Lonchura striata: one gene and its partners. The protein of the gene in region 1 binds, or shares a complex with, the protein of each later gene. Links are inferred from orthologs where the notes say so. Each region holds a gene or a part of one and is shown on either strand. Other genes may lie near its edges.

The links.
Region 2: the proteins of CDC42 (region 1) and IQGAP2 are in contact, whole or in part, in a crystal structure (PDB 5CJP), measured with the Homo sapiens proteins. The link is inferred for Lonchura striata from reciprocal best matches to the Homo sapiens genes CDC42 and IQGAP2. Residues at the interface, in NP_001034891.1 of Homo sapiens: Gly12, Ala13, Ile21, Thr25, Asn26, Lys27, Phe28, Pro29, Ser30, Glu31, Tyr32, Val33, Pro34, Val36, Phe37, Asp38, Tyr40, Phe56, Tyr64, Leu70, Gln74, Gln116, Leu119, Asp122, Pro123, Ser124, Thr125, Glu127, Lys128, Lys131; in NP_006624.3 of Homo sapiens: Gln893, Thr894, Asn924, Tyr925, Ser927, Asn928, Gln929, Arg930, Glu931, Glu932, Arg976, Gly977, Asn979, Gln983, Asp1067, Leu1068, Leu1069, Pro1070, Tyr1071, Lys1191, Phe1192, Asn1193, Lys1196, Tyr1197, Leu1200, Val1201, Thr1202, Val1203, Ser1204, Lys1205.
Region 3: CDC42 (region 1) and CRK share a complex: the UniProt entries of both Homo sapiens proteins name them as parts of the collagen stimulated complex. The link is inferred for Lonchura striata from reciprocal best matches to the Homo sapiens genes CDC42 and CRK.
Region 4: the proteins of CDC42 (region 1) and FMNL2 are in contact, whole or in part, in a crystal structure (PDB 4YC7), measured with the Homo sapiens proteins. The link is inferred for Lonchura striata from reciprocal best matches to the Homo sapiens genes CDC42 and FMNL2. Residues at the interface, in NP_001034891.1 of Homo sapiens: Val36, Phe37, Asn39, Gln61, Glu62, Asp63, Tyr64, Asp65, Arg66, Leu67, Arg68, Pro69, Leu70, Pro73, Ser88, Glu91, Asn92, Lys94, Glu95, Lys96, Pro99, Glu100, Thr102, His103, His104, Pro106, Lys131, Asn132, Lys133; in NP_443137.2 of Homo sapiens: Ala41, Met42, Asn43, Leu44, Pro45, Lys48, Leu52, Tyr55, Lys59, Glu62, Leu63, Asp66, Gln67, Arg69, Phe70, Lys73, Tyr79, Arg108, Glu109, Ile112, Ser113, Leu114, Arg115, Thr116, Asn117, Ile119, Val122, Asp219, His222, Met226.

What each region holds. Positions count from the first base shown.
Region 1 is NC_134626.1:8,463,692-8,470,532, reverse strand, and holds the start of CDC42 (cell division control protein 42 homolog), read left to right. Parts: upstream 1-3,819; 5' UTR 3,820-3,912; intron 3,913-6,841. Other genes in the region: C24H1orf50 (uncharacterized protein C1orf50 homolog), read left to right, coding at 321-503. UniProt on the Homo sapiens protein: Plasma membrane-associated small GTPase which cycles between an active GTP-bound and an inactive GDP-bound state. In active state binds to a variety of effector proteins to regulate cellular responses. Involved in epithelial cell polarization processes.
Region 2 is NC_134642.1:13,539,328-13,546,212, reverse strand, and holds the start of IQGAP2 (ras GTPase-activating-like protein IQGAP2), read left to right. Parts: upstream 1-3,878; 5' UTR 3,879-3,914; coding exon 3,915-3,960; intron 3,961-6,885. UniProt on the Homo sapiens protein: Binds to activated CDC42 and RAC1 but does not seem to stimulate their GTPase activity. Associates with calmodulin.
Region 3 is NC_134622.1:6,727,389-6,734,634, forward strand, and holds the start of CRK (adapter molecule crk), read left to right. Parts: upstream 1-4,244; 5' UTR 4,245-4,328; coding exon 4,329-4,572; intron 4,573-7,246. UniProt on the Homo sapiens protein: Involved in cell branching and adhesion mediated by BCAR1-CRK-RAPGEF1 signaling and activation of RAP1.
Region 4 is NC_134610.1:1,541,028-1,548,047, reverse strand, and holds the start of FMNL2 (formin-like protein 2), read left to right. Parts: upstream 1-4,006; 5' UTR 4,007-4,039; coding exon 4,040-4,156; intron 4,157-7,020. UniProt on the Homo sapiens protein: Plays a role in the regulation of cell morphology and cytoskeletal organization. Required in the cortical actin filament dynamics.

The DNA of each region.
Region 1 (6,841 bases):
GAGGGTCTCTTCAGGTACTTCAGCCCAGGCAGCTGAAGAGATGATCTTGGAAATCTCCTCCTTCCAGACTACCTGTTTTCTTACATGCAAGGTGGAAGTTTCAGGGCAGGTCAGGGAGATCTTGTGTCCACATGCCTTCCTCTGTCAGCAGTGCTAGAGCTCGACCTGATCTTGGACTTGGGTATCTGACCCTGTATTTAGGTTAGGAAATGGTATGGTCATGTAGCTGGGACTGCTTTGAAGGTAGTAGGGCTGAGAGACAGCACAGCCAAGCTCCAAGGAAACCTGAACACTGATGGAATCTCTCTTTTCTCCACCAGGAATGGGGTACTACTCCCCATGAATTTCTTGGTGCCTATAAGCTCCAGCATGACATGTCCTGGACTCCGTTTGAGAACATAGAGAGACGAGATGCTGAAATAACTGTCCTGGAGAAGCTGCTGAGCCAGCCGGCAGCATTGCCCCTGTGCATGGAGCTCAACTTCCAGGGTGTGACCAAGTGACCACACAGGACCCCCTGAGCAGAGTCCCTGAGTGAGGGGACAGAGTACCTGTACGCTGCCAAAGGCAGGGTGGAAATAGACCAAGAAACAAAAATGCTGATTGCTTTTGTGCTTTAAGAAGTTTAATTCTGCATTCAGTCATACTGGACTTTCTAGTAATTGAATAATTTACTTCATTGACCTATGGCAAGCTGTAGTAAGAGGCAGATGATACCAGGAGGTGTGACTTCCAAGAGTGCTTGGAGCAAAAAGCAGAAATGCTTGGGGCAGATGTGCTAATGTTGTAAAATAATATCTCCTGTCTGCCTGGCTCTGGTGTACCTCGCTGTGAATGTATCAGGTAATGATCTCAGGGCTGGATTTTCCCCCTTATTAAAATGTACATGTTTAGAGAGCTCTGTGGTCTGGAAAGAGTGGTCAAAAGCTTATGCAAAGGGTCTGCTGTGATGAGTCTTCTGGTCTCTGTCCTAGCTGGTCTGAATCCCTGAGCTGGGAACATGAAGCTTTTCTCTGGAAAGAGCATCCCCAAAAGTGCCATGCAGGCTTCAGGTGTTCTTCAGATGATGTGTTTCACATCCTCATGCATTCCCCCTTGGATTTGAGTGCATGAGCTGCTAGGTAGAGGCAGGATACTGGATGACTTTATGCCAGAGCAGTGGGGAGAGTAAAATAAACCATGATCTCACAGGTACCACCAAGACAGGCCCTGTGTTCTTCCTGCGTGGCAAAAATACCTTTAGCTTTGCCAGGAAGACTTAGTGGCATGTGGAGCTAGTAGGATACCCCCAGCGTAATTTTTCCATCTAGAAAAACTAGGGAGAAGTAAAGATCAGAGCTGCTGAGGAGATATCCTCCCTCTGCCAAGCCACACAGGGCTTCTTCAGGAACTTGCCTGCTTTTCTGTGAGGAGCCAAAGTTGGAATTTATTGACAGAGAGGATGTCCAGGTTGGATCCTGGTATGTAACATTAGATCTGGTTGGATTCTCCCATGACTTGCTCACTTTTCTAACATGACAAGATGATCTTGTATGCTACTCCAGGCATTGCATGTACACAATCACCTTGCCACCTCCATGGGCAACATGGGAGAGTTGGGGACCACTTGTAGGAGCTGAATTCTGACCTTGGGATCTGGGCCAGCTATGGATGGATTTCATGCTTCTTGGTGGAGCCTGATTGTGAGCGCATCTACAAAAACAAGATCCTTGGGGACCAGCACTGTCACTGTGTTTTGCCATTGCTGGAATTTATTCCCCTTTTGCAGGACACAGCCTTACCTCAAGTCTCTAGCATTCCTCTGTCCTCATCCCCATGCACTGGGAGTTTGCCTTGGGAGATGCTCAAGGCTGCTGGCGGTGACAGTTCCTCATGGGAAGAGCTGTTTCCTACTGGTGTTACAGAGGATTGGAAGGTTTGGAGCAGCTCCCTAGCCCAGGATTTTTTGTCCCAGATTTTCTTCTCCTAGCTCTGTCCGGTGCAGTAGCTCACCTACATCCCCGCATGGCTGAGCCTCTGTTTGGCAGAAACCTGTTCCTTGGATTCAATATGAGGCTTTTTTTTCCATATCTTTCCTCACTTGGAGCACAAGGACATATTAACAGGAATTTGTTATTAGTAGTAGTAGTATTAGACCAGGCTATAATTAATTCCGTAACAAGTTACAGGTGCTGAATTTGACAGGGTTTTTCTCTGCTTGTTTCACTGCCTTGAGTCTGATTTTACTGCATGGTATTATATCTTAACTTGGAAGGGATAAAGTTAATTACTGCATGGACTTTGTGTGGTTCACGTGTGTTGATTTATGCTCCTCTGGGAAGTGAGGATTCTTGCCCTGGTTTTATCTGTTTCCATCATTAATATCTGTACCATGGCATGCACAAGAGGCTTGAGGAGTGGTGGTTGTGGACCTCTGTAGCTTATGGTGGGATGTCATGTGTGTCTAGCAGACACCCCTGGCCCTCCATAGCCCACAAGTCACTAGTATTCTGCAGTTCTTCTAGGCACTGTCAAGTCTTTCTCTTGTGAAAAGACAAAGGAGGCCTCAAGAGACGGGACATGGAGGTAATGAGCTCATAGTCATCCTCATCCTTGGCATCCTCATTCCTTTGCACTGTGGGAAGTGGGGAATGAGGCTGGTGCAGGGAGCAGTTGATGGAAAGGGGGAACCATTCCCTCAATATTGCTTATGCACTGTTGAAGTGTAATTAAAGTCAAAGAACTGTGAGGCATCATCAGAAATACTGGAAGGTGCTCTAGAGCCAAAGCAAAACATAATCTGGAACACAGACAAGGATGAAGCTGGTTGAGGTGGAGCCTCATGTGATGCTTGCATCAAGAATGAGTTTCTGGAGGAATGATGAGATGGTGCCTTGTGGGAGACTCCAGGGTCTCTCCAGGTTCTTGTTCTCATCCACTCGGCTCAGCCTCTACCCAGCTGGAACATTTGTGCTTGACAGGGCAGGGATTTCATCGAAAATCATCTGGAAGAGACAGTGAGACACTGATATCCACTCATGATTTCATCTTGAAAATTCTTTTGAAAATGTTCCTCTTCCTTTGCTCTTTTGTGAGTGCTCCGGGCAGCAGTGAGCATATTTGGAAGGCAGTGGCTCTTTCCAGAATCCCCAGGGATGTGGAATATTTGCAGAAGGCACAGATATGCTTCTGACACCATTACATTGGGCAGAGTGGATTGTGTCCTGTCTTTGGCCATGCAGATGGACCAGGGCTCATTTAAGAAGTCCAATGCAAAGATGGTTTGAGGGTTTGACCTATTCCATGTGCTCTCCAGAGACAGTGTTTGGTGACTTGAAGCTGCTGGCATAGGTACTTGCAGCTTTTTCCAACTTTTAATATTTGAATTGCTCTGTAGTTTACTGTTTCAGGCCAGATTTTTGCTTTGCTTCTCAAAGTAGTTGTGCCTGGAGATTTTCTTTCCGGCCTCTTGTTCCTGAATGATGGGGGTGGTTAGGGGGATTTAACTTGCCATAAGTACCCTCTGCTCTGGGGTGTCATCTCCCAGCCATGAGGAGTGCCCCAACAGGATGAACTGTGGATCTTTGGCCCTTCTTATGTCGGCTTCAGGTCCAGGGAGAAAAGACAAAAAACCAAAAAAAACCACGAAAAAAACAAGAAAACAAAAAAAAACAAAAAGCAAACCACACCAAACCAAACCTAGAGGGAGCCTGGGCGCTGTGCCGGCGAACCTCACATCCGGCAGGCCGTGCCCGCGCGCGCCCCCTGACGCTGCGCGCAGCGCGCTGCGAGCCGCGGCGCATGGCCGGCAGGGGGCGTCCTAGCTGGCACGCCCCTCACCAGCGCGCTGCGCGGTGACGTCAATCGACTGCCCCTGTGCCTGCGCCGAGGAGACCCCGCACTGAGCTGCCAACGCCCGGCGGAGCGTCCGAGGTGAGAGTGGGGGGGCGGGGGAGGGGGGCGGAGACGGGACTGGGACCCCCGGCCGAGCTCCGGGACCTCCGGCCGAGCTCCGGGACCTCCGGCCGGTTCTGCTCTCCGCGCGCACCCACCAATAGAGCCCTGGCCTTCACCTCGGCCGGGGCGCCCGCTGTGCGTGCGGGGCCTCCCCGGCAGCCGCCTGCCGGGGGGAAGGGCGGCCTCCTCCCGGCGGGTCCCGGTGGCTGCTGGCGGACGCTTGCCTTTGTGGGCCTGGTCTGTTGAGGTGGTCGGCATGGCCGCCGCTTCTCCTGCCCACCCTTCCCCCGCTTCCGGGCGGCCGTCGGACTGGACCCTCGGAACGGCGCAGGAAGCGTTCTCGCAGCCATGGCGGGGCCCGCCCGCACTCCCTTGCCCCTGCCCGTCCCAGCCCCGCCCTGCCCGTCCCGGCCTCAGCCGCGGCCCTCCGCACTCGGTGCAGTCCGGCTGCGCTCGGGGCTGTGGGAGAAGCCTCGAGGGGCTGCGGGCACAGCAGCCCTGAACCGCAGCGGGGTGTGGGCATGGCGAGGAGTTGAGCTCTAGCTATGTGCCCTGCACAGACAGCGCTCAGTCGAGAAGTCGCAGACTCTTCTGGGTATCTGCCTCACGAGCTGCAGTGCTGTGGGTTATCCAAAGCTGTCCCACAGCTTTCGTTACATCGTGATGCCTCTGGCTGTAGCTGGGCCAGGAGCTAGCACTGCTTCAAAGGTTGGTGTTGACATATGTTTTTCATTCTCCTTGGAAATCTCATAAAAATGTACATACTGCAGAATCATAACTCCTGTCTCTGTTTTAAAGGTCTGGTTTAGTGATCTAGATTTCAGTTCCGTATCTGTAAGTAGATAGAACTTGCAGCTGGTGACAGCAGTAGGAGACAGTTGCAGAGCCAGGTAGCTGTGAAGACCTAGCATTGGAAACCTATGCTTAACAAAGAATGGTCGGGATTCCTGTTGTCCTTTCTGTGTGGATGCTGTGGCCAGGGCAGCCAGAGATCCTGTCTTGACAGCAGCATGAGGAAGACAAGCCCTGGCAAAGAGGCCGTGTTAGATGGCAACTGAGTGATCAGACATGGTAACTGGATGATCAGAACTGGCTGCTTGGTCTGGCCATCTATGATTGTCTTTGTGCTTCTCTCCCAGGAAAGGAGGTGTGGGCTGTTCAAAATATTGAGTTGCAGCGCCCAAAAGCTTTATTTTTTTTTCCGGAAGGGGCATTTAAAAACTGCATCAAGCTCATTGTATTGCTGATTGGGATAACTCAGTAAAGCATTACAGCTTCTGTTTTTCTGTAAGCAAATTATATTCAGCTGGCTGAATGTGAGGAAGTTGTATGTGAAGAAGCTGTTCTAAATTTCCCTTCTGTTGTAAACTTCTGCTTTGTACTCTTGTTAGTGTAAGGTTCTGAGGAAGATAATATAGGCAACTATATTTGAGTCAGGTCTTAGGCATGTATGGTTTGAATAAGTATATTGCCGACTGTAAAAATGGTTTGGTGTTTAAACTGTTCTCATTTATGCTTCAGTAACAACAACAACAAAAAAACTAAGTCTTGGCAAGGAATAAAAAATTACTGTGGTGCAAGATAAAACATGTTTTCACTTTGGTAACATATCCGAGGCAGAAATTTTAATCACTAAATTTGCATACTTTGAACTTGGTTATTCATGACCTGCAACTGATGTTCTGAATCATTAAGTGCTCTGCTTTAGGGTTGTTTGCCTAAAACTGATGACTGGGAAGTTCATGATGTTTTTACTGTTTAAATAGAAAAGCTCTGGAAGCTCTAGAGTGTGAAGTACCTAAAACTGAAACTGTCATTCTGCTAAAAGGCAACGGTAAACATAAATGGAGCCCCTGTGAAGCTCCCAGGGATTTCTCTTATAAGTGTTCTGTGGGCTTTCCTTGCTGTAAACCCTGTGTGAGGCTGATGGAAAGTGCAGCATGAAGCTAGCCACTAATCTTGATGTAAAGCTTCTTTTTCATTAAAATGTAGATGTAGTACTAAAGTAATTTTCCAAGTTTTATGAGCATAGATAGCTGGACCTTACAATTAAAACCTTTTCAGCAGCTCTCTTGTTACCATGGGGGTTGGTTGGTGTACCTGGGTTCCAGCTCTGCTGTTAGCTCCGGAAGACTCGGACAATAAATGAACATGCTGCACTACAGCTGAGGTTTGTGTAAGATGTTGCAGGTGAGATGTGTATAATCTGCTTGATGCCCATGTGAGTGCTCACAGCTTTTAAAAGTTGTCTGTGGGCTTGTGTTTTTGATCCTGCTCATTCCTCTGCCTGCCCTTTGTGGTCAGGAGAGCTGAGCTCTCCTGCTGTCATTTGGCTCCATCATGAATTTATGATACGAGTTTCTGGAGCAAGAGACAGTTAGGAGGAATTGTAGAGGGTTTAGTTATCATTGCTCTTTAGGAAAAGATTCTTTGCTGAGGAAAGAATGACATATTTCTCATTTTAGAAGATGAAAGTTCTGTCAAATCAAATGGAAGTGGAATTGGTTTCTGGTGCTTCAGGTAGCAAGAAGCTCTCTAACCACTTAGTCTTCTTCCTTGGTTCCTTTCACTCCCTTACATTAAATGTAGGTGAAAGCACCCTATATTCAATAGTTAATATATGACAAATAAAACAATTTATTGACCAGATAAGCTTTTATGCAAAGTTTTAAGAGAAATTTAAAGTACCTTTACATTTCTGCAGCCTGTCACCATTTAATTATCTGGCTTCTCCCAGACCCTACACTTTATTACGGTTTGACACGATACAAGCTAAGTGTATATCCCTCAGGAAGGACTGCCATTAGGAGTGGTAGGTAAAAAAAATCCCTTTCCCCAGAGTTTTTGCAAGGGCTGAAGCTTGGCACAAAAGTTCTCCCTCTCTGAGGTTGTTTGGCCACCCCAA
Region 2 (6,885 bases), on another chromosome or scaffold:
ATCTAAATGGCTCTGTGAGCATGCATGACTCCAAATGCATACTTTGAGTCTGTATATATGTTTATTTCTTTCCCTCTTGCCAATTCTAAGGCCCGAGTTAGAGCAACTATCTAGGCCTTTGTGCAGAGGTATTTGTTGGCCTAGATTCCATTACCTCCTTGCAGGTAGTAATTGCATACCTGGCGTGTTGTTTTCTACTGATGACATAACTGCTTCTATCAGTGAACCAGACTTCTGCACTCTTGAGAGGGGTGTCCTTCAAACTAGAGCAACTGGAATAGGTGGCCTCAATGATCTCTAGGCAGTCATGTTCCACTGGCTCTCCTTGGTTTTCACTGAGGAAGGAGGCTGGACTGACAGTGTTAGTCACTACAATCTCTACATCATCTTGCTCCACCATGATAGTTTGGAATCTCAGGACTCGTTGTGGGGAAAGCCAATGCCTGCCTTTCACCTCTAGCACTGCAGACACTGTGTGGGACACTAGCACAGTCATTTTTTGGCCCAGGGTGAATTTACGTGCCTCCTGGATGTTCAGTACAACTGCTGCAACAGGTTTGAGGCATCCAGGCCACCCTTTAGCTGCTGCATCCAATTGCTTAGAGAAGTAATGCCACTGCTCTCCGGTACAGGCTGAGGTCTTGTGCAAATTTTCTCAAGGCGGTTCTTTGTTTCTCATGGGAGAACAAAAGGAAAGGCTTACTCATGTTTGGCAATCCCAGAGATGGAGCTGACAAGAGGGCTTTTTTTTCAGTTGGTTGAAAGCTTGCGTTGCTTTCGTTGTCCATTGGATGTCCCTGCTTTCGGTTGCTATCAGTTCACATAAGGGCTTCACAAACAGTCCGTAGTTATAGATCCATAACCTGCACCACCCCGTCATCCCCAGGAAAGTTCATAGTTCCTTTACAGTCTGAGGTTTTGGGGTTTGGCATATTGCTTCCTTCTGGCTTTGGCCCAGGGTACGTTGTCTAGCACTGACTTCGTAACTCAGAAAAGCTACTTTTTGTTTTATTACTTGGGCCTTTTTCTTTGATACCTGGTATCTCTGGAGCCCCAAAAAGTTCAAATGGCTTACTGTCCAGGCCACGCATGTTTCTCTTGTCTGTGTGGCTATCAGGATATCATCTACGTACTGTAGCAGCTTCTCTTCCTCTGGAGGGCCTCCCCAGGTCTCTAATTCTTTTGTAAGTTGTTCTCCAAACAAAGTAGGTGAGTTTTTGAATCCTTGTGAGAGAGAGTCTGGTCTCTGTAAACTGAGCTTTTTGTCTGCCTTTAGGACTTTCCCATTCAAATGCAAAAATTTTCTGGCTGGCTTTGTGGATAGGAAGGCAAAAGAAAGAGTCTTTTAAATCTAAAATGGTAAACCAAGTTAGTTTTGGTGTTAAGCAAGTTAATAACATGTAGGGATTGGCCACCACAGGATACAGATCTCCAGTTACCTTGTTCACAGCTCACAGATCTTGTACTAACCGGTATGACCCATCAGGTTTGAGAACTGGTAGGGTAGGGGTGTTAAAATCAGATTGACATTCTTTTAATAATCCTAAACGAAAAAAGTTCTCAGTTACTGGGCTAATCCCTTCCTTATCCTCCCACCTCAAGGGATACTGTTTAACCCTGCCAAGTTGCTTTCCCTCTTTTAGTCTGATCTATATAGGGGGAGTGTTTTTCGCTCTCCCTGGTACATCAGAGGCCCATACCCCAGGGAATACCTGATTCATTATTTCTTCATCAATTTCAGTTTTTCTCATGACTTCGCTAGTGGTTAGTATTAAACTCAATACTTCTACATACTTTTGATCATTTACCTCCAGAGTCATCTCCCCATTGTTAAATGCAATAGTTGTCTGTAATTGTCTCAGCAAATCTCAGCCCAAAAGTGGCTCAGGGGAACTGGGCATATGTGGAAATTTGTGGAGCTCCCATTGCTTTATTTTAGTGGCTTAAAGAAAAATGCCTTTTCAGTTTGGCCAGTTGCTCTTATAACTACAGAATATTCATCTCTTATGAGCCAAATGAAAGGGAAAAAGAAAGATTTTTTTTGTTGTTATGAAATTTAATAATTATAAATTTATAGTTAATCAAATAACTAGATAAAATATTAATAGCCAAATTAATAATCAATAATAGTTTTTATATTAGACTATTATTGTATTAATTAATTAACCATCAATCATTGTTAATTTATTGTTTGCCCAGTGCCACATAAGTTTACGAACTCTTAAGGGTTCAATCCAAACCACTGGGGAGGAAAGAGAAGGAAAAATATTTCTTTCATTTTTCTTTTTAATACTAAGGCTGGGTCACTCCTTTATCCTTTCTTAATCTTCTTCAAACATGTCCTAGGTTTCAGGGACCAGGTGATTTTTTATACAGATTAAATTAACTATTTTACACTTTGCTTGTTCAACTCCTGGGTTATAATTCAGGGGTACACGCACAACATGTGGATCTCTGCTTATATGAAATACAATACTACTTCCTCTGACACTTCAAGTGTTGGAGGAGAACCCAAGCTGTGTGCCAGTCTGGCTTCCAGCAAAAGGTTGTCAATCTGCACACGAAACAGGAGATTACCACTCCTGGACCCCACCTCAAGGGGTTTCTCAGCACCTGTTCAACTGGTGGTTGTTCTCAGTCAAAGGCTACACAGCAACTTGTTGAACTTTGGTATATCCCTCCTAAGGACGCTCCTTCTCTCTCTGTGTGGGCAAATTACCTCTCACTTGCCGCAAGAACCAGGCAACAAACCCTGTACTGCAAGGATCTTTCAGTGACAGCTTTTAACACTGAAGGGCAGTGTTATCTCTCAACAAACACTTAACTCTTAGCCCAGTTGGGCTTGCTGGTTACTTTTAGCTGGATCTTGTCCTTTACTAACCAGCGATGCTTGTAAGCATCACTTGCAAATCTTAACTTGTATGATGCCCCTACTAGCTGCGCTATTCGCTAGTGGCATTTAAAGCAACCCTAAAAACCGTGGCTTGTGTCCGTGCTCCTGAGGCAGAGGTTTCTTAAGTAAAAGGTTAAAATTCAACATGTAACTCTACAAGCTAGAATATAAATGCTTAATTCATTTTGTTAACTTAAGTGAACTCCAAAAATCTGTTTCAGTACACCCAATTGCAAAGGTGCAGGTCATGGTGATGGCTTTGTGGTCTGGCAGAAACACTGCTTGTGGGGTGTGAGAATTTTTCAAAACGGCAAAATTACAGGAGGGAGTCTTAGACTTGGTTCTTCACCTCTCTTCAGAGTCCGCCCTGCCAAAACACCATAGGGGAGAGTCCTTGGCCTTTTACTGTGGAACTTGGTTTATTTAAATAGTTTGGTGGTTTGGGGTGGTGTTTTTTGGTTTTCTGGTTGGGTATTTTTGTTCTGTTATGGTTTTTTGTTGTTTTTGTTTTGCTTTGGGCCTTGCCTTTTGGTTGCTTTCTTGAGTTTTAGTTTGTTGTGTTGTTTTTGTGGTTTTGGGGAGTTTTTGGTTGATTTTTTTTCTTTGCTTTGAGGCTTGGGGTTTTGTTGTTTTTGGGGATTTGTTTGTGGTCTATTTCGGGGGGGGGAGGGGGGCGTGTTTTGTTTTGTTACGTTTTGCTTTATTTTCCCTCCTTTTTCTACTTTCTACCTGGCGCTTTTCTGCCTATTTTTTTTTTTTTTTTTAATCTTGGCGTGTGCTTTTCTGTTAGTTTGTTTTTCCCCCTCCTCTCTCACTCTCCCTTTCCCCTTTCCCTTGTTTTCCGCGCGCTCCCCCGCCCGGCTCTCCCGCGCACCCGCGCGGCCCCAGCCGCGCCGGAGCCGCCCCGGTGGCCCCGGCCCCGCGCGGGGCGGCGCGGCCGCGGCCGCAGCAAATCAGCGGGGCCCGGCCCGCATAAGAAGGGCGGGCGGGGACCGGCGCCGTCCCTCCCGGCGGCGGCAGGATGCACCATGAGGAGCTGGCGTCCCTGCAGCGGCCCCGCTACGGCTGTGAGTGGGGTCCTGGGGGGCGTTTCGGGACCTTTCCGTAGTTTTGTTTTTTTTTTCTGCTTTGGTGTTTTTTTTTTTTATTATTTTTTTTTTTTTAATTTTTTTTTAATTTCCCACTCCCTTGCTGCTTTCTCGGTTTACTACTAAAAATGCAAGCTGAAGGCAAAGTAAAACCCGCCCAGCAGACTCTTGCGGCAGCGCGCGGCGCTCCGCCTCCTTTTAGGTTAGCTCGCAGTCGGCTCCGGCTGGGTTTTGAACAGGTTTTCACGGGGCTGCGTTTTGTTCTGTAACTTTGTGAATGGATTATAGCCGGAATTCCGCATTGCAGCTCGGGAGTTTTAGATTAGAGGTCGAGCTTCGGGTTTTAGTGCTGTAACTTGGTGTTACAGGTATGGGTTTGGGTTTTAACTTCGTAACTTGAGTTATGACTGTAGCTTCAGGTTGTAACTTGGTAACCTTTGGATTATTACTTCGGAATTTCGGATTATAAAATTAAACCTTTGCTTTCTAGTTTTATAACTTTATCTTAGACCTTTGCAACTCTTAAGTGCTTGGGATGAGGGGAGAGACCGTGCAGGAACCGGGCATTTCTTTTCAGAGGGGTGTATTTACTTCCCAAACGTATGTTTAAGAAAAACCCTTGAACACCTTCCTCTTGCTGTTGGTCTCTCCCGCCCGTGCTGTGCCGTGCTGGGATCTTGCACCCGCCTGTGCTTTTCCAGGCTCTTGCAGGGCAGAGCAGTGCAAGCCCGTGGCTGTGCCATTCCTACAAGAAATGCCTCTGATACGTCAGGCATTGCAAAATGGTAACACGCAAATTATTTGCGAAGTTCTCAACAGCCCTGGCATCCTGTTGTCTAATGAGTAGATACCCAGTTCTTATCGTAGTGGCTTCATTAAAAACCAGTTTTGAAATCTCCTTTTAGAAAGAAACAAAACTCCTTAACAGTGTTAAGAGCCACCTTGATTCCACCTAAGACAGGTAGAAAAAGCTTGGCAGTAAGACCTTCAGCTTGCAGAATGCCATGCTCTTCTAAGCATTTTTCCTCATTGATGACTGATTCACCCTGTTGATACCCTCTCTTGGGGCATTTTGTGGAATGTGCCTGTAAGTTTCATTTTTCATTTTACCCAGTAGGTGGGTTGCATCCTTGCAAAGGTGTGTGTTCACTGGTTACTACAGGCATTGTCTGAGTGCCTATGCTGTTATGTTAGCAAAGGTGAATATTTTGCTTGTGAAACCAGTCCTCCCAGCAGCTTGTGCCATTGCACGTTGTAGTTAGGCAGTGTCCAGGTGTGCAGCATCGTGTTCCAGCCTCGGTTTGGACACTGTCCACTTGCCTGAGATGCAGAAATGTTTGTTGTATGCCTGTCAGGACTCCAGCAGTAGAGGCTTTCCTTTTGGATCTGCAGTGGCTGATCTCAGAACATGTGGGTCTGGACAGGTAGAAGTGTGACATGACTTCTGATAAAGGCAAAAATTAGTCTTTAACCCAAAGCAAAGGGTTCGTCCTTTGAGTCTTGTTCCTTCCTGGCACTGAGGATGAATTACCTTATTGACAGAGCTGGTCAGAGTATATTAAAGATTGTAGGCCTCAATTATTATGGGAAAGAATGACACTAAATATAGTTTTGAAGATACGTTCTATCCTCTCAGTGCTTATGCTTTGCTGTGGTAGTTGAGAGTATTTTGTTCTAGTAACCATGGGGATGTTCATGTTCTGAGGTGTAGCCATGCTTGGTGTCAGGTCTCTCTGCCCCAAGTACAAGAGTGGATGAGAGTACACTTGTTTTTATAATGGTGCCACTCTTCTGATCAATCATGTCTGCTTGCTCAAGATCAGGTAGCTATTCTGTCCTTCCCTGAGTGAGAAGCTGTGGCTGTTGTGCCACACTGCATCCACTTCTTTTTGGAGTGCAATTTTTGGTGCAGGAACCATTGAAATTACATTCCTTTCAAGAGACTAGGCAAAGGCTCTTGAAATATGCCAGGCTGATGGCAATATTTAAAAAAATATACACCAGGAAACTTCATGAAGACTTCCATTAAAGAACAAGCCTACTTGTCTGTAGTGACAGTAGAGGCACATGTTTGGGTTTTTTAGTCTGTGTCTAGAGAAATACATACATTTTATCTGCATTGCATTTGGCTGCCGTTTTGAGCAGCGAAGACACCCAGCACCTTAAACAAAAAAAAAAAAAAAAAAAAAAACCCAACCAAACAAACAACAAAAAAACCAAAAAACAAAACAAAACAAGAGAAAATACTCCTTAACTAGAAAACTAACACTAGTGTTTTCTTAGCTTTCATGAAAGCCCCCTACATAACTAAAACTTCACTTTGGATTACTGACAAACAGTTCCCTGTGTTGAGAACACCACATCTATGCTGGATTTCCTAAGGAGTTAATAAATTGTCCAAGTTAGGCTATCAAATTTCTAAGACCCCTTGCTTTAGTGACATAGAACTGTTTTAAACATTTAACTTGACTTGGACTTTTGACTTTGACTTCAAGTTCCTAGCAGAGTTTGTGTATTGCTCTGAAGAATGTTAGCATTTTACTATCGTAACTTTCTGCCTAGTACTTTATAAACCGAGTATCATTTCACTGGGGAGACATATCCTGAACTTAAAAGAAGTTGTACTTTACAAACATTCCTGATATAGTAACACAAAAATAAATCTAGAAAAAAAAAATCTTAGAGCTGATCATTTCCATATTTAAAGTCAGGAAATTGATGAATGAAATCAAACAAGACAGTCCCTTTCTGGGTTGGTGCTAGTTCAGGATGAGCATGGTTCATGGGAGAATCAGACCTCAGAGCACCCTGCTAGAGCCTTCCCTTGGTCTATTAGGGTGAAAGGTTTGTGGCTTCCTGGACCACTTGCTGAAAGGCGCCTCCAATTCTGCTTCTTGTCAATAG
Region 3 (7,246 bases), on another chromosome or scaffold:
TCTTTGTCCCCTCATCCCAAGGTGTTCAGCTTGTTCCAGGAGAGCAGCCCTGCCTCTTCTTGGCCTAAATAAACCACATGCTTTCATCAGTCCCCATGAGACATTCATTCCCCCACTGACACTAATCAGCTCCATTCCCTCACACACAGCAGACCAGAATCCTGGTCTAGCTGAAGAGTTGCTCCTGCCTTGGCATCATTATTTCACACCACAGCTGCCGGGCTACACAGCCACATCCCACTGTCATTGTGTGTTATTGTCACACCACTAAGAATTCCTGTTACTTCTCCAGCTGCAGGACCCTTCCCTCCAGCTCACGCTGCTCCACACCTCATTTCTGCACATGTTACAAATAAACCCCCTCCAGTCCATCCCCTGGGATGCTTAACTTTCCCTCACAGCTGATGGCACATCCCAGGAAAATTCAAATTTAGACTTTGTCACAAAGACATTTCCCACTTGGCAGCACAAAGGCTCCTCCCCTTACACAAAATCCAGCAGGATCAAGAGATTGTTCTACCCATCACTCACTCCAAGATTATTTATTCTCAAGTCTTCACGCAGAGCTTGTGACACAATGGCTTCTGTCACTGTTCACCAAAAGTGCTACATTTGGCATGGACATCCCACAGCAGCACCTGGTAGGAACTCCTGGCACAGGTGACACTTCCAAGCCAGGTGTGAAGCCAGGTTCCAGGCCACATGAGGCAAAGGAAAGGAATAAACAGGACACAGGCACCCCCTGCGAGCAGCTGAGCCTGAACTAATTGCAAGAGGAAACATTTCTGTGGAAGAAATGCTGTTTCTTAGGTCACAGGGAAAAGAAACCAAGAGATGGAACTTCTTTAGTTTTATTTTTCTAAGTAGGACACAGTACTGCCATGTGATCTAGACCAGCTTGACAAAGCCAAACGCTTCAAGGAGCAGTTGGGACAAGGTTATGTGACCCCAGGTCACCTTGCACTGCTGTCAGCAGAGTGCAGATGAACCTTGGGCTGACCCAGGTGTTTCCTGATTTTGTTTTAACATCCCTTGGATGTCACCTCAGGCAGAACATTGCTGTACTACAGCCCTCCATACTTGGCATCTTTTCAAGATTCACTCATTGCACTCAGCAAGAAACTTTCTACTGATTGAGTGTGGCTTTAGACACTGCCAAAATTTTAGAGCTTCTTAGGAAAAAACAATCTCTGACCAACTGGTAGGGACAATAAAATCAGGAGAAGGAAACCAAACCTGTGTACCACTGGAGCTTTTTACTGCTAGGTGAGTGAATAAAATGTTTTCATAGTATTTTGTACTTTATTCCTTTCAGGATCTTGTAATTAGCAGTGAATTCTTTGGCATTTCAAGCTGATTTAGTTTTATTCTTCTGAGACAGTGTCCCAGAGCTTCGTTTTTCTTTCACATTCCTCTCTGCAATCCCTCTGCCTGTGAAAGATCACCTGAATTCTTAAAATGTTAATTGTTTTCAAACTTGTAGGAAGCAGGTTTAGGCAGAAGAGCTCTGCGTTGTTGTAGCCTTTGTGCAGCAGGGATGGGGCGAAGGTAATAAACTGCTGAGGGATGCAGAGCTTAAATAGGGGAGGAAAAAGAAATTTGGGAAAGGCTACCAGTTATTATCAGAAATGCCAAGTAAGGAAAGGCTTTTACAAATAATGAAGGTGAGAAGGTGACTGTAGAAGAGGAGCTGTGGATAACCTGGAAGCGATCAAGGCCAGGTTGGATGGGGCTCTCAACCTGCCCTAGAGGAAGGTCCCTGTCCACGGCTCGGGGTCGCACCTGGATAATGTACGAGGTCCCTTCCCATCCAAACTATTCCAAAATCCTATGGAATCATTCCAGAATAAAAACACCCACGGGAGGATTTAGGGGTTATTGGTTTCCCGGCTTTGACCACCAGAGAGAGCTCGTGCAGCAGGAGTCCCAACCTGAGCCAAAACCAAAACCAAAACCTGATGGAAAACGCCAATTCCCGCAGTTTTGGGATCGGCGGAAATCGGGAGACGGGGACCGGGAAGGGAGAGGGAAAAAAGAACAGACTCTGGGCCCTCAAAAAATGAGGCTTTTTTGCAGCGGCCTGGCAGGAATCAGGAAAAAATGGTGAATTTTGCTCTAAAAAAGTATTGGTTGATTTGTTTGTTTGAGGTCTGTGAACACTGAACAGAAAGGACACGTGTTCCTGCGGATATGATTTAACTCTCCTGCCGTCCTGGGCTCTCAGCAAGGATCTGCAGCTTTTCAAACCCGTGAAAAACCCATGGAAGTGTGTGTGCTATTCCTGCAGCTGGCCAGCAAACCCCACACATCACCACGGAAACTGGGACTGACCTCCAAAAAGATTAGGCTCACTCCTAGCTCCAGCCCATCTGGAGAGAGAACAGCATCAGCAGAAGAAGGATGTTCATTTGTGAGGCTGAAAGCAAGCACCTGGTGTTTTCTTATGGATTTGATGAACCACAGACTCCCCACCTGTAAGGAAGAATATTTTCTCACTGGGATATTGTGGAGGTTAGTACAACCCTGGAACCTGACACAATGCCAGAGTCCTATGCAGGAGACAGCTACAGGGCCCTACAAAAAACCAGAATATTGGATGCAGGGAGGAGCACAGCACCCTCAGAGTCAGGGATAGCAGTGCTCTAACATTGTTTATGCAAGTGCTGCAACAGGGAGACCACACAGTTGAAAAAGCAGATTCCTTTCTGGAAAAAAGCTCACAGAACTGAGCAGAGCTGGAGCAGAATTCTACACACGTTGACAGATATTACTCTGGCATTTAAGAGATCTTGGAGAATAGTCTAAAAGTGGTACATATTGCTTTGTTTTCACAAATAGAACTCTTAGTTTGTCCATGCCCACACACACATGGCTCCTCTGTGGCACCAGTGGAACCTAAGCTCTTCCCTGTTGCAGACCTCTGTGGGAATGCAGTCAGTGAACTGCCCTGAATAAAGCAAAACTTTTTATTTTGCAGGGCTATTTTTAACCCGGAACAGCTCCTTGGCCCAATTCATGCAGTCCCATGAAAAGCAGCTGTGCTGGCACAGCTGTGGGGTGGGAATATGTGGCTGGCAGGGAGGATGAGGACAGAAGCTGCTGGCACAGCCCTGAAGGAAAACACAGCGAGCTGCAGCCTTTAATGTACAGATGAAAATATACACAATATACTGAGCTGGAAGGGACCCACAAGGATCATCGAGGCCAACCCCTGGCCCTGCAAAGAGACTCCTGTGCATCCCTGAGAGCATTGTTGAAACATTTCTGGAGCTCTGGCAGCCTTGGGGCTGGGGCCATTCCCTGGGGAGCTGGGGCAGTGCCCAGCACCCTCTGGGGAAGAATCTTTTCCTAATATCCAACTTAACCCTCCCCTGACACAGCTCCTGCTCTTCCCTTGAGTCCTGTCCCTGGTCACAGAGCAGAGGTTGGTGCTGCCTCTCAGAAGGATGTTTAAGACGACAATGAGGTCTGACCTCAGTCTCCTCTTCTCCAAGCTGAACAAAGCAAGTGACCCCAGTCCATTCTCATAAGATTTTCTCTCCAGATGCTTCCCCATCTTTGTAGGCAAGGAACGGTGTGGCTGCAGGGCCAGGGAAGGGATTGTCCCCCTGTGCTGGGCACTGGTAAGGCCACATTTGAGTGCTGTGTCCCCTCAATGCAGGAGGGACATCGAGGGGCTGGAGCATGACCAGAGAAGGGAACAGAGCTGGGGGAGGATCCGGAGCACCAGGAGAGGCTGAGGGAGCCAGGAGAGCTGAGCCTGGAGAAAAGAGGGGGGAACCTTCTGGCTGTCTGCAGCTGCTGGAAAGGAGGTGGGAGCCAGGTGAGGGGGTCAGGCTCTGCTCCCAGGGAACAAGGGACAGGACGAGCGGAAACGGCCTCAAGCTGGGTCAGGGGAGGTTAAGGCTGGACATCAGGAGGAATTTCTTCCCAGAAAAGGTCATCAGACATTGGAACGGGCTGCCCAGAGCTGTGGCGGAGTCACCGCGCTTGGAGATGTTCAAGAAACGACCGGACGCGGCACTCCGATCTGGTTACCAGGGCGGAGTCCAGTCCCGGGCTGGACCCGGTGATTCCAGCGGTGCTTCCCAGCTGATGGATGCCGGGATTGCCGGGATTGCCGGGATTCACCCGCTACTCCCGCTTTTCCCGCCCGCCCCTCACAGCCCGCCCTCACACCGAGCCCCCGCCCGCGCGGGGAGATGACGTCACGCCTCCGCGTGCGGTCACGTCCGGTAGGTGAGGTCAGGGCCGGGGCCGCCATTTTGAGCGGCTCCGCGGGCGGCGGCGGCGGCGGCCGCGGGCGGGGGAGGAGGAGCGCGGCCCCCATGGCCGGGCAGTTCGACTCCGAGGACCGGGCGAGCTGGTACTGGGGGCGGCTGAGCCGCGCCGAGGCCGTATCGCTGCTGCAGGGGCAGCGCCACGGCACCTTCCTGGTGCGCGACTCGGGCACCATCCCCGGCGACTTCGTGCTGTCGGTGTCCGAGAGCTCCCGCGTCTCGCACTACATCGTCAACAGCCTGGGGCCGGCGGGAGCCCGGCGGGCCGGCGGCGAGGGCCCCGGGGCCCCGGGTGAGTGACCCCAGGGCTGGCGGTGCCCGCAGCCCCGGGCAGGGCAGCCGGGGCGGCTCCGCTGGGCGCCCGGGCGGTGTTGGCAGGCGTGGAGCGCTTTGTGGTGGAATTAAGCCGTGTTCCGGAGCTGAGGCGGCTGCCCGAGCGGAGCCCGCTGCCCGCACCTGCCGTTCTGTGCCACATGAAATTCAGCGTCCTGGACTTGGGCATCCCGCGGCTCCTCTTTGTTTTCCTAACCCCCTTAGCGATAATTCATAGATTTTCCGTGTCATCTCAGCCGGAAGGTGGTTGTGTGAAGTGTCATCCTCAAAATGTGACTTCTGACAAGGCAGTTTTGCGTTATCAGGGAGGCTGAGTTCGAGTTTGAGTGGTGGGAACTCTTCGGGATGTTTCTTGAAATCAGATGTGAAGTTCAGTTTCTTTCCTCTTGAAAGGAGAAGTTTGGTATTATTTCTCATCGAGTGAACATGTGAAAAGGAAAGCAACACGTTTAAGTGTAACACTGAAAGTGCAGAAAGTGCTAAGGGAGCTCTGTGAGAAGCAGAATTTTTGCTGTTTAGTCCAAGTAAACCCTAACAGTGCAGAACCACTGGATGTGTCAGAACGTGCAGTCCAAAGGCACTGGTGTCACTCCTGTGGGAATCAGGGAAGTTGGTGCTGGAACTGCTCGAGTTTGGATATTAATCCTTGCAAAATGATGTGGATGTGTGATTGGCATCTCCACAAGGAGCCACTAGATAGTTTTTAACTATAGTAAACCTGTGTAATAAGAGATTTGGTGAACTTATTTGGCAGAAAGTCAACAGACACGGTGATAAAAGTCTATGGGTGGAATAGGAGACCAGTGGTGCAAAGATGTAACAAGACTTGTTTTATTTTTCAGTCTCTGCACAGAGTGATTGACTAAGGAGATAATCTGAGAGAAAACAAAATTAGTGCCAGTAGGTTTGCACTGTCATACAGGGGAAGCATTTCAGATTGGAAAAATGGGGAAAGCCTAAACTCACCCTGTTTATCCCAGGAACCTCCTGGACCTGCACAGTGCACTGAGGTTACAGAGCTCCACAGGTAGAAGTTAAATGTGGCTGAATTCAGCTGGAAGTGGAATTTATTGCTGCTGTGGGGGATCAGAATGTGGTGGGTTCCTGTTGTTCCATGTGGGTGCAGACAGAGGTTTGGTGCTGTAATTGCTGACAAGGATGGCTGGTGTTAAGTAGAGCAGAGTCAGTCGCCAGCATGTTTTGTTCTGAATCCAACCTAATTAGATTTTTCAAGACAGTAAAAAACACTGGGTCATGAGTGTCTGTCACTTCTGGGCAGTTGTTTTTTTGGTGAGCAACTCATCTCTGGGAAAACAGTACAGCCATCCTGACTTTTTTCCTCTGTTACATTCTAAGCTCAGTAACATTTTGTGGCATTCTGTGGGCTGGCTTTGGTTAAAATCATGAAGTACCTTGTAATTCTCTTCTGTTTTAAAAGAGTAGCTGTGTAAGCTGGTGGCACAGCAGGCTTAATATATCTGAAAAAGTATAATTATGTTTTGGTTGGCCTCCTTTTTATTTATCCCCTGGATGTTCTGGGAGGGGTGATGCATCACTCCTGCACTACAGACACTCCCACGTTGATTTTAGTCATTTTAATTAAATTATGCCTCCACACTGATACTGCTGTCTTCATACTACAACCAAAGAAGGTGCTGGGGAGGTATATATTGAATTATACTTCAAGTGTAATTAAGGTGCTGTTTCAGAAAAAAATAAGTGGGCGGTTGTTCTGCAGTGGAAGGGAGGTGAAAACATTAGTAGAAGATTGAAGATGATTCTGTGTTTGGGTAGGGAAGCTAATGCAGTAAAAAGAGTTAAATGTTTGTAAATTGTCCAGCTTGTTTATTGTGGCTAAACTAAAACGTTGGGAAAAACAAAATCACTGTATTGTAGTATGGTACAATTTTTTAAACAATTTGTTGTTTGGCAGATGTGCAGGTCTCTGGGAAATTTGAATATTCCAGGTTGGGTTCTGGGGTTGATTTTTGTTGGGCTCAGTGTCTGTGAAATTTCTGGCTGCTCTCAGGGATAGGGGAACCTCAGCATAGAATGAATGAGATGAGGAGCTCTGGCTTCCCTAAAAATCACAATGTCACAAGAACATAGTACTTTCTTTGATTTCTGAAGTATAGAGTAAACTTGCAAACTCTTTGTTAAATTGACCTTTTGACTGATGCTGCAGTTTCTAGTTTCTTGCAGGTAATTTTTCAGCATAACAAAGAAATAAGAGTTGAACAGAACTTTTAGTGTGTTCTTGGAATGTTTTTTTAGTCTGTTAAAAAAAATAGGATAGATCACTGAATTATGGGAAAGAAAACCATTTTTTTTTTCAGTGGAAATGGATAATTTGTGATGAAGTATCATAGTTATGGTTAAAGAAGTCCCAAACAAGACAAGGTGCTCCATGCAGGCATTAGCATGGTGATGGACAGCAGGGGAAATATTAAATATATCATGTGTTTGCAATGCAATATGGGGGTTTGGGGTAAAAATGTGTGATATGCACTAAAAAATGCCTGAAATACCTAAAGATAGAAATCCTCTCTGTTGAGAGAGGAGCGTTATAAACACAGAAGCCTTAATGTCATTAAATTTGTCTGTCTGAAGTAGGCAGATATGACAGATAAAAT
Region 4 (7,020 bases), on another chromosome or scaffold:
TCCATTCCACAGGGAAAACAGAGGCATCTTTTGGCCCCTGTTCCATCCAGCATCTCCCCCAGCCTCTGGCTGCATCTCGGTGCTGCTCTGCTCTCACATTGCAGTGTTATTAAATATTGACTCCTTCCCCAGCCCTGTTTTCTGCTCCATTATCTCACTTGCCTCAGCACTGGCGATTCCTGGCCTTGCTGGGAATTCTGAGGCTGTGTTTTGTCTGCCTGCCTTCCTGCCAAGAAATGCTGAAGGAGCTCCTGGCAAGGCTGAGTCCCACCAGGAAATAACCCCGGCTGCTGCTGGGTTTGCTCAGCAGCGATGGCAGCAACGTGGGGAGATGTCCTGCAACTCATCTTCACGTCCCAGCGCTCCTTGGGCATTCTCCTGCCCAGCTTTGCAGCTTGTTTTAAACTCAGTTTACACCTGGAGGGATGTTCAGCCTGGAGAAGGCTCCAGGGAGAGCTCAGAGCCCTTGCAGAGCCCAAAGGGGCTCCAGGAGAGCTGGAGAGGGATGGGGGACAAGGGATCAGGGCAGGGTTAGGTGGGACGCCGGTGACAGCACCACACTTGGCTCTGCTGGAGCTGCATCTGATCCACGCCAGTGTTGGAAGTGATGCCCAAGGACATCAGCAGGGCCAGAGCAGGGCACGAGGAAATCAGCTCCAAAGTTCATCATTTAATTTCCAGCACCCCGAGAAAATTGAAAGGGCTGGGTAGATGTGAACCTGAGCACTCGCTGTGCTGGGACTGAGCACTTCCACCCTGCAGCTTCTGCAGCAGCTCATTTCCCTTGGGAAGGCTGCCCTCAGAAAGCAGAACAGGATTTTAAAATATTTTTTCCATTTGTTACAGAAAAGCCCCTCTCCTAAGCAAGCTCAGCATGCACGAACTGCAATCAATAACCTCATGTGAAGCGAGCACTGCTCAGCTCAGGGATGGATTTTATGGGTGCTCTACATCTTTATTATGAGTGAAGCATCCTTGGCCACTGCTGAGCAGGGTCTGGCTATTTATTAAAGCCTCTCCAGCTTTTATCAGATCACCTGGAACTTCACAGAAAAGGCAGCTCAGGATCCCTCTGGAAGTGCTGAGCATCAGGGAAAATGAGGGTTCACAAATCAATCTTTCCCCTTCAAAGGTTTTTCTCTAGATAAGTAAGTAGAGACTGGTTCAGGGGATTTTAGGAATGACTCAGCCCCAAACTTGCAGCTCTTTACGTGGAGATTTTGGTGACAAACAGAGCAGCTGGGTCAGGGGAATTTAGGAATGACTCGGCCATAACTTCCAGCTCGTTATGAGGAGAGTTTGGTGACAAACAGACCTTGAGGAAAGGCTGAGAAATCTCATTCTCCAGTGAAATTCCACACACGCTCATGGCAGGGAGCCCTTGCAAAGCTGGTATGGCCATTAACCCCGGGGCAGACCAAGAATTCCCTGCTGGCATCACCCGGTGTGAATCACCCAGGTGCCTGGGATGAGCTCTGGGAACTGCACACTGTGAGCTGCTTCTTTTATTTGAATAAATAAAATGTGAAAACAAAGCTCTTGTTTATTAGTTTTAATCCCAGAATAATTTCTTTACATTGCACGAGCCAGCTAAGTCCCTTTTTTTACTTACCCACACTAATTTTGGCATTTGCAAATGTCGACATCCCAGTTAGAGACAACAACAAATTGCTTAAAAATCATCTCATCCTTTACAAGAATTCTTTTCTTTGCTCTGCTGCATTGATGTCAAATGCTCGCTGTGTGTGAGGATGCCTAAATTCATTAAAAATTTTGCAAGGCTAGTTTTGACCTGAATATGCCTCATAGCAGGATTTAGAGCTGCCTTTGACTTCTTGCTGGAGCCCAGGAATCCAGTTTATCCTGCAATTTTCCCAACCTGTCCCAGGTATTTGTGGCCAGCAGCATCTCCCCATCCCTGAAGGTCTCCTGGTGTCCAGAGGGACTTAAAAATGCTGAGGTGACTCAGGGAATCCCAGAATTTGCTGAGCTGGAAGGGATCCACAAGGATCATCAGAAAAGTGTTGAGTGCTTCCATGGTGGGAATTATTGACTGGGAAAATCCTGGGATTCCTGACACTGCAGCGAGTTTGTCATCACAGGTCATGAAAAGCCCTGCTGCTGGGAGAGGGAAGGATCCTCTGCTGGGGACTGTCTTCATCACTGTTCCCTGCCCTCCTGTTATCAGTGGTGCTCTAAGGCTGCCTTATCTCACAGCACTCTTGTGAAGCTTAATGAACTAATTAATCTTTCAAAGAATTGTGATAGATAAAAGACATGGGGCAAAGTATCTATTACCGCGACAGTAACGTCGTTGTTAACTCCTGACAGCTCTCCGGGGTTCAAACCTTTGTTTACCAAGGATATTGCAAGGTTTTCGGGCTTTTAACAAAGCAGTTTATGAAATTCTGAGCTGTTCCTGGGGCCTGCAGAGTGGGAAATCCAAACCTTTGGCATCGCTCGGGGGCCCAGGCCACGTCCTGATGCTCTGTGGGCAAGGTGGGGAGTGAGCCAGGACAAAGAGTTCCTCCCCATCCCAGTTATGGATGTATGACACTTATTTTTTTTTTAATTGGAACGAGCTTGTTTAATTAGTAGTGGGTTTAGAGCTCTCAGGGAGAAAAGCTGCCTGTCACTTCCATGGATTTCCCCTGCAGGACTGCGTGTGCTGCCACACAGGATTCCCAGCACGTCGCTTCTGCGGCACTTCCCAAGCCGTGCCTCTGGCACAGCCCTGATCCCAGAGAATGGAAATGAAGGAATGGTCATTTCCCAGACTATGATGCTTATCCTTTTGCTCTTCTCCCCAAATTAATCTCCATGTGGATAGTTTCCATGGCCAGGAGGAGAGGCAGCAGCATGAGTGGTGTGAAGGTGAGAGCCGAGTGAAAATCGTTCTTCCCTGGAAGGATAATGGGATGCTCATAGGGGACAGTGGGGTATGGATTGGTGGGGCTGACAGGAGGGAATGAGGTCTTGGATTTGGGATTAAGCCAGATGTAAGTGAGGACAGCACAGTCACCAAATGAGCTGATGGCATCTCCCAGGGTCAGGGTTCCAGGCTCCTGTTTCCCGTGCAGCCCTGCATCCCTGGGATGCTGAAACCCGGGGAACACTGCAGAAATGGGGGATAACGCCCGAGGAGTGGCCAGGCTTGAGATGCTGGGGTGGATGATCCTCCTGTGTACACCCAGGCAGCCTCAGCTCGGGTACGGATGTGTCGGGGTGGCGAATTCACGGGGGTCAGTCACCCCAATTGTCCCGATTTCAGTCACTCGGGATGGGGGCTGGGGCGACCGGGTGGGGCCACTGTCCTTGAGCACCTACAGCCGTTTTGGTGAGCAGCAGGACCACGGCTGTCCACAGCAAAGGTCTAGAGTTAATCACAGCACCAGGGTCCCACGCTGGTTTGGGTTTAAAGGGACCTTAGAGCCCACCCAGTGCCACCCCTGCCATGGTAGGGACACCTCCCACTGCCCCAGGCTGCTCCCAGCCCTGTCCAGCCTGGCCTTGGGCACTTCCCGGGATCCAGGGGCAGCCAGAGCTGCTCTGGGCACTTGTGCCAAGGCCTGCCACCCTGCCAGGGAAGGATTTTCCGGAATCTCCGCTCTCCCCCTGCCCTCGCTGGAATCCACTCCCCGCGTCCACTCACTGCCGGCCGGCAGCAGCGCGGCCGCCGAGGCAAAATGGATGCGGCGGGGTGTCCCCCACCCCTTTCCCCCATTTCCCCACTCCTTTCCACCTTTTCCAGGCATTCCCACCGCCCTCTCCCGCCTCCCTCCCCGCGGCCGGCGGCGGGACTACGAGTCCCATGGCGCCGCGGGCCGGGGGCGGAGCGGGGCTTTGTGCGGGCGGCATGCGGGGGAGCCGCAGCCGGGGCTGGAGCCGGAGCCGGAGCGAGCCCGCCCCGGGGGGAGGAGGGCGAGGGCGGCGAGCCATGACGGGCGGCGGCGCGGCGGAGCGCCCGCGGTGGTAGAGGGCGAGCGCGGGGCGCGGAGCCCGCCCGGCGCGGGGCGCGGAGCAGCGCGGAGCGGCCGCCATGGGCAACGCGGGCAGCGTGGACGCGCAGCAGACGGAGCTGAGGGCGCACGGCGTGCCCCTGAAGCTGCCCATGCCCGAGCCCGGCGAGCTGGAGGAGCGCTTCGCCGTGGTGCTGGTGAGCGCCGGCCCCATTGTCTGCGGGCAGCGCGGAGGGGCCGCGGGCGGGGGGAGCGGCGGAAAGTTGGCTCGGGAGCCGCGGCCGGGCGCAGGTGGGCTCGGCCGGGCGGTGCCGCCCGCGGGACGGGGCCGCGGCTCTTTGTCTCCGCAGCCCCCCCGAGGGCCGCCGTGCCCCGGCCCGGCCGGCTCCCGGGGCCGGGCGGCGGGGCGCAGCCCGCGGCCAGCGCAGCGGGAGCGCAGCGGGAGCGCAGCGGGAGCGGCTCCGCCGGGGACGCTCCGGGACACCGGTTCTGCTCCGCCGGGGCACCGGTTCTGCTCCGCCGGGGCACCGGTTCTGCTCCGCCGGGGACGCTCCGGGGCACCGGTTCTGCTCCGCCGGGGCACCGGTTCTGCTCCGCCGGGGACTCTGGCTCTGCTCCGCCGGGGCACCGGTTCTGCTCCGCCGGGGCACCGGTTCTGCTCCGCCGGGGCACCGGCTGTGCTCCGCCGGGGACTCTGGCTCTGCTCCGCCGGGAGCCCAGGGACACGGTCCTGCTCTGCCGGGAGCCCGGGAGCACCCCGCTCTGTTCCACCAGGAGCCCGGGGATACCGGCTCTGCTCTGCCGGGGCACCGGCTCTGCTCTGCCGGGGACACCGGCTCTGCTCTGCCGGGGACACCGTTCTCCTGTGCCCCCCGGGAACACCCCGCTCTGTGCCCCCCGGGACACCCCCGGCTTTCTCCTCCTGGGGATGCCGCCCTCCTTTCCCCCCGGGACACCCCGCTCCTGTCCCCCCCGTTGGGGGACTCCCCGGTGCTTCTCCCCCGGACCGTGCCGGGGTTTTCACTTCAGCAGCACGGACGGGTGGCTCTGAGATCACCTCCCAGCGAAGGGCTGAGCTTTCTTTCCCTGGGCAAAGCTCCCGCTGCCTTTGGGGTACCCCGGCAGCGCGGCTCCATCTCCTCTCTGCCGTGTTTTTTTTTTTTCCTTGGAGCCACGTTTGCGTGTGGAACGGGAGCTGGGGGAGGAGGGCGAGCGGCTCCATGTGCGTGCCATGCCCGGCCCCGCCGTGATGCTTCGGGAGCCCGGAGCTGCCGGGTCATTCCCGTCCCGCATCCCGGAGCCGCTCCCGGGCGCTGGGCGAGGATTCCCAACCGCTGTGTGTTGGGGATTATTTCTGGTTAGACCCAATTAGATTATCATGTCTAAGAAAAGAATAAGCCTATTCAGTCAGGAACCCCCACTGACGAGCCAAATGGCGAGTGAGATGTTACGATTATTAGGCACAGTGGAAAAAAAGCCCGGTGTCGCGTTGCTCTTGTCGGGGATGGGAGATGCTCCCGCAGGCAGCACACGGCTCAGGATCCAGTCTGGATTCATCTGGGACTACCAGAAGGGCTCCTGGCCCCGTGTGCCTGCGCGGTCTGCGGGAGGAAATCGGTGGCTTTGGGTTAGGGGATGGTGATGGATGGGATCTGTGAAAGGCAGAGACGTCACTCGGGGCAGCCTTAGAAACGTGTAACGTAAATACGGGAGATAACAGCACCCAGCCTGTCGTTTCCTGAGGTGCTTGGAAGGTTTTAGAGGTGGACTTCAATTCAGGCTGGGAGGATGAGTGCTGCAGCTTTGCTGGAGGGAGAGGCTGGCCATGCGGGTGGGCAGTCCCTACAAATGTGCTCTGGGACGGTTTTCCCCCACCTTGGGGAGAAGCTGCGAGATGGGACCAAACAGCCCCAAAAATCACCTTCATGCTGTTCTTGCAGCCAGCCAGGCATGGCTGCTGGTGTTGCTGCAGCTTCCAGGAAATCTCTGACCAGTTCATGAAAGAATAAACTGCCGGGCTGTGATTATTTTGTTTTCTCTGTGGCTCTGAGGGAGAGATGACTGTGCCACTGCTCAAAGCCCAGAATGGGGTAGGCTGGAGAAGTGCAGGGATTAACGAGAAAGGAATGATCAGGGGAAAAACCATGAGGAATATTTTCTGTGGGGAGAGAGGATTAGTCAGGAGATGGGAGCATGAAGAAGGAGATGCTGAAGGTTGTAAGACTAAATCTCACCTTCCTTATGTGCTGTCTTAAGAAATTAGCCTGGCACGGGCGTTGCTGGCACACTCTGAGCCCTGGTGAGGTCCTGAGGGCTGTGCTGACAATCCCAATTTCCATATCCCTGCTGAAATTCCCAAGGCTGGTCTGGATGTTGATGAACACAGTGAGTGGCTGTGTTCAGGTTTCCCTCCTCACAGTGGGAGGGTTGTGCCCACTCCTGTGTGGGAGAGGTCCCTTCTGCGTGTTTGGAAGTTTTGTTCTCTTCCAGAGCAGGGAGCCCTGGCCCTCCAAACCACCAGGAGAGCACACTTGGCCATGATTTCACCCTGAGTGCCATGACACCAACTGGTTTATGTTTTCCACCTCAAACACGCTGTCCTGAGCTGCTCCAGCATCTCTGGAGTCCCTTCAGCGAGGGGATGCTGTGCCTGGAGGGGATGGATGGGTGCCAGCTTGTGTTTGCTGGGCTCTCAGAGGGTTTTGTGTTGAGAAAGGGCTCTGCCTTGTCCACCTCCAACACACACACCTGGTCACCTCACACACACACCTGGTCACCTCACACACACACCTGGTCACGTTGTACACACACTGTCACCTCCCTGCCTCCTGATCCTCCTTGAGGTGCAGAAATTGCAGGAGATGATGGGCACTGCTCCAGGTCACGTTTTTTTGGGCGAAGTTCTCCAGTCTGTGCTCCCTGTGCCCTTGGTGTTCCTGAGGTGTCCAGAGCCAGCGGAGGGACAGGGATGCCACTGGCTGTGTCACTCCTGGTGGCCTGTTGGGCAGTAATCAGGGTTCTCCCCGTGGCTCTGTGTCTCCTGGTGCTGTTTTTGGCACTG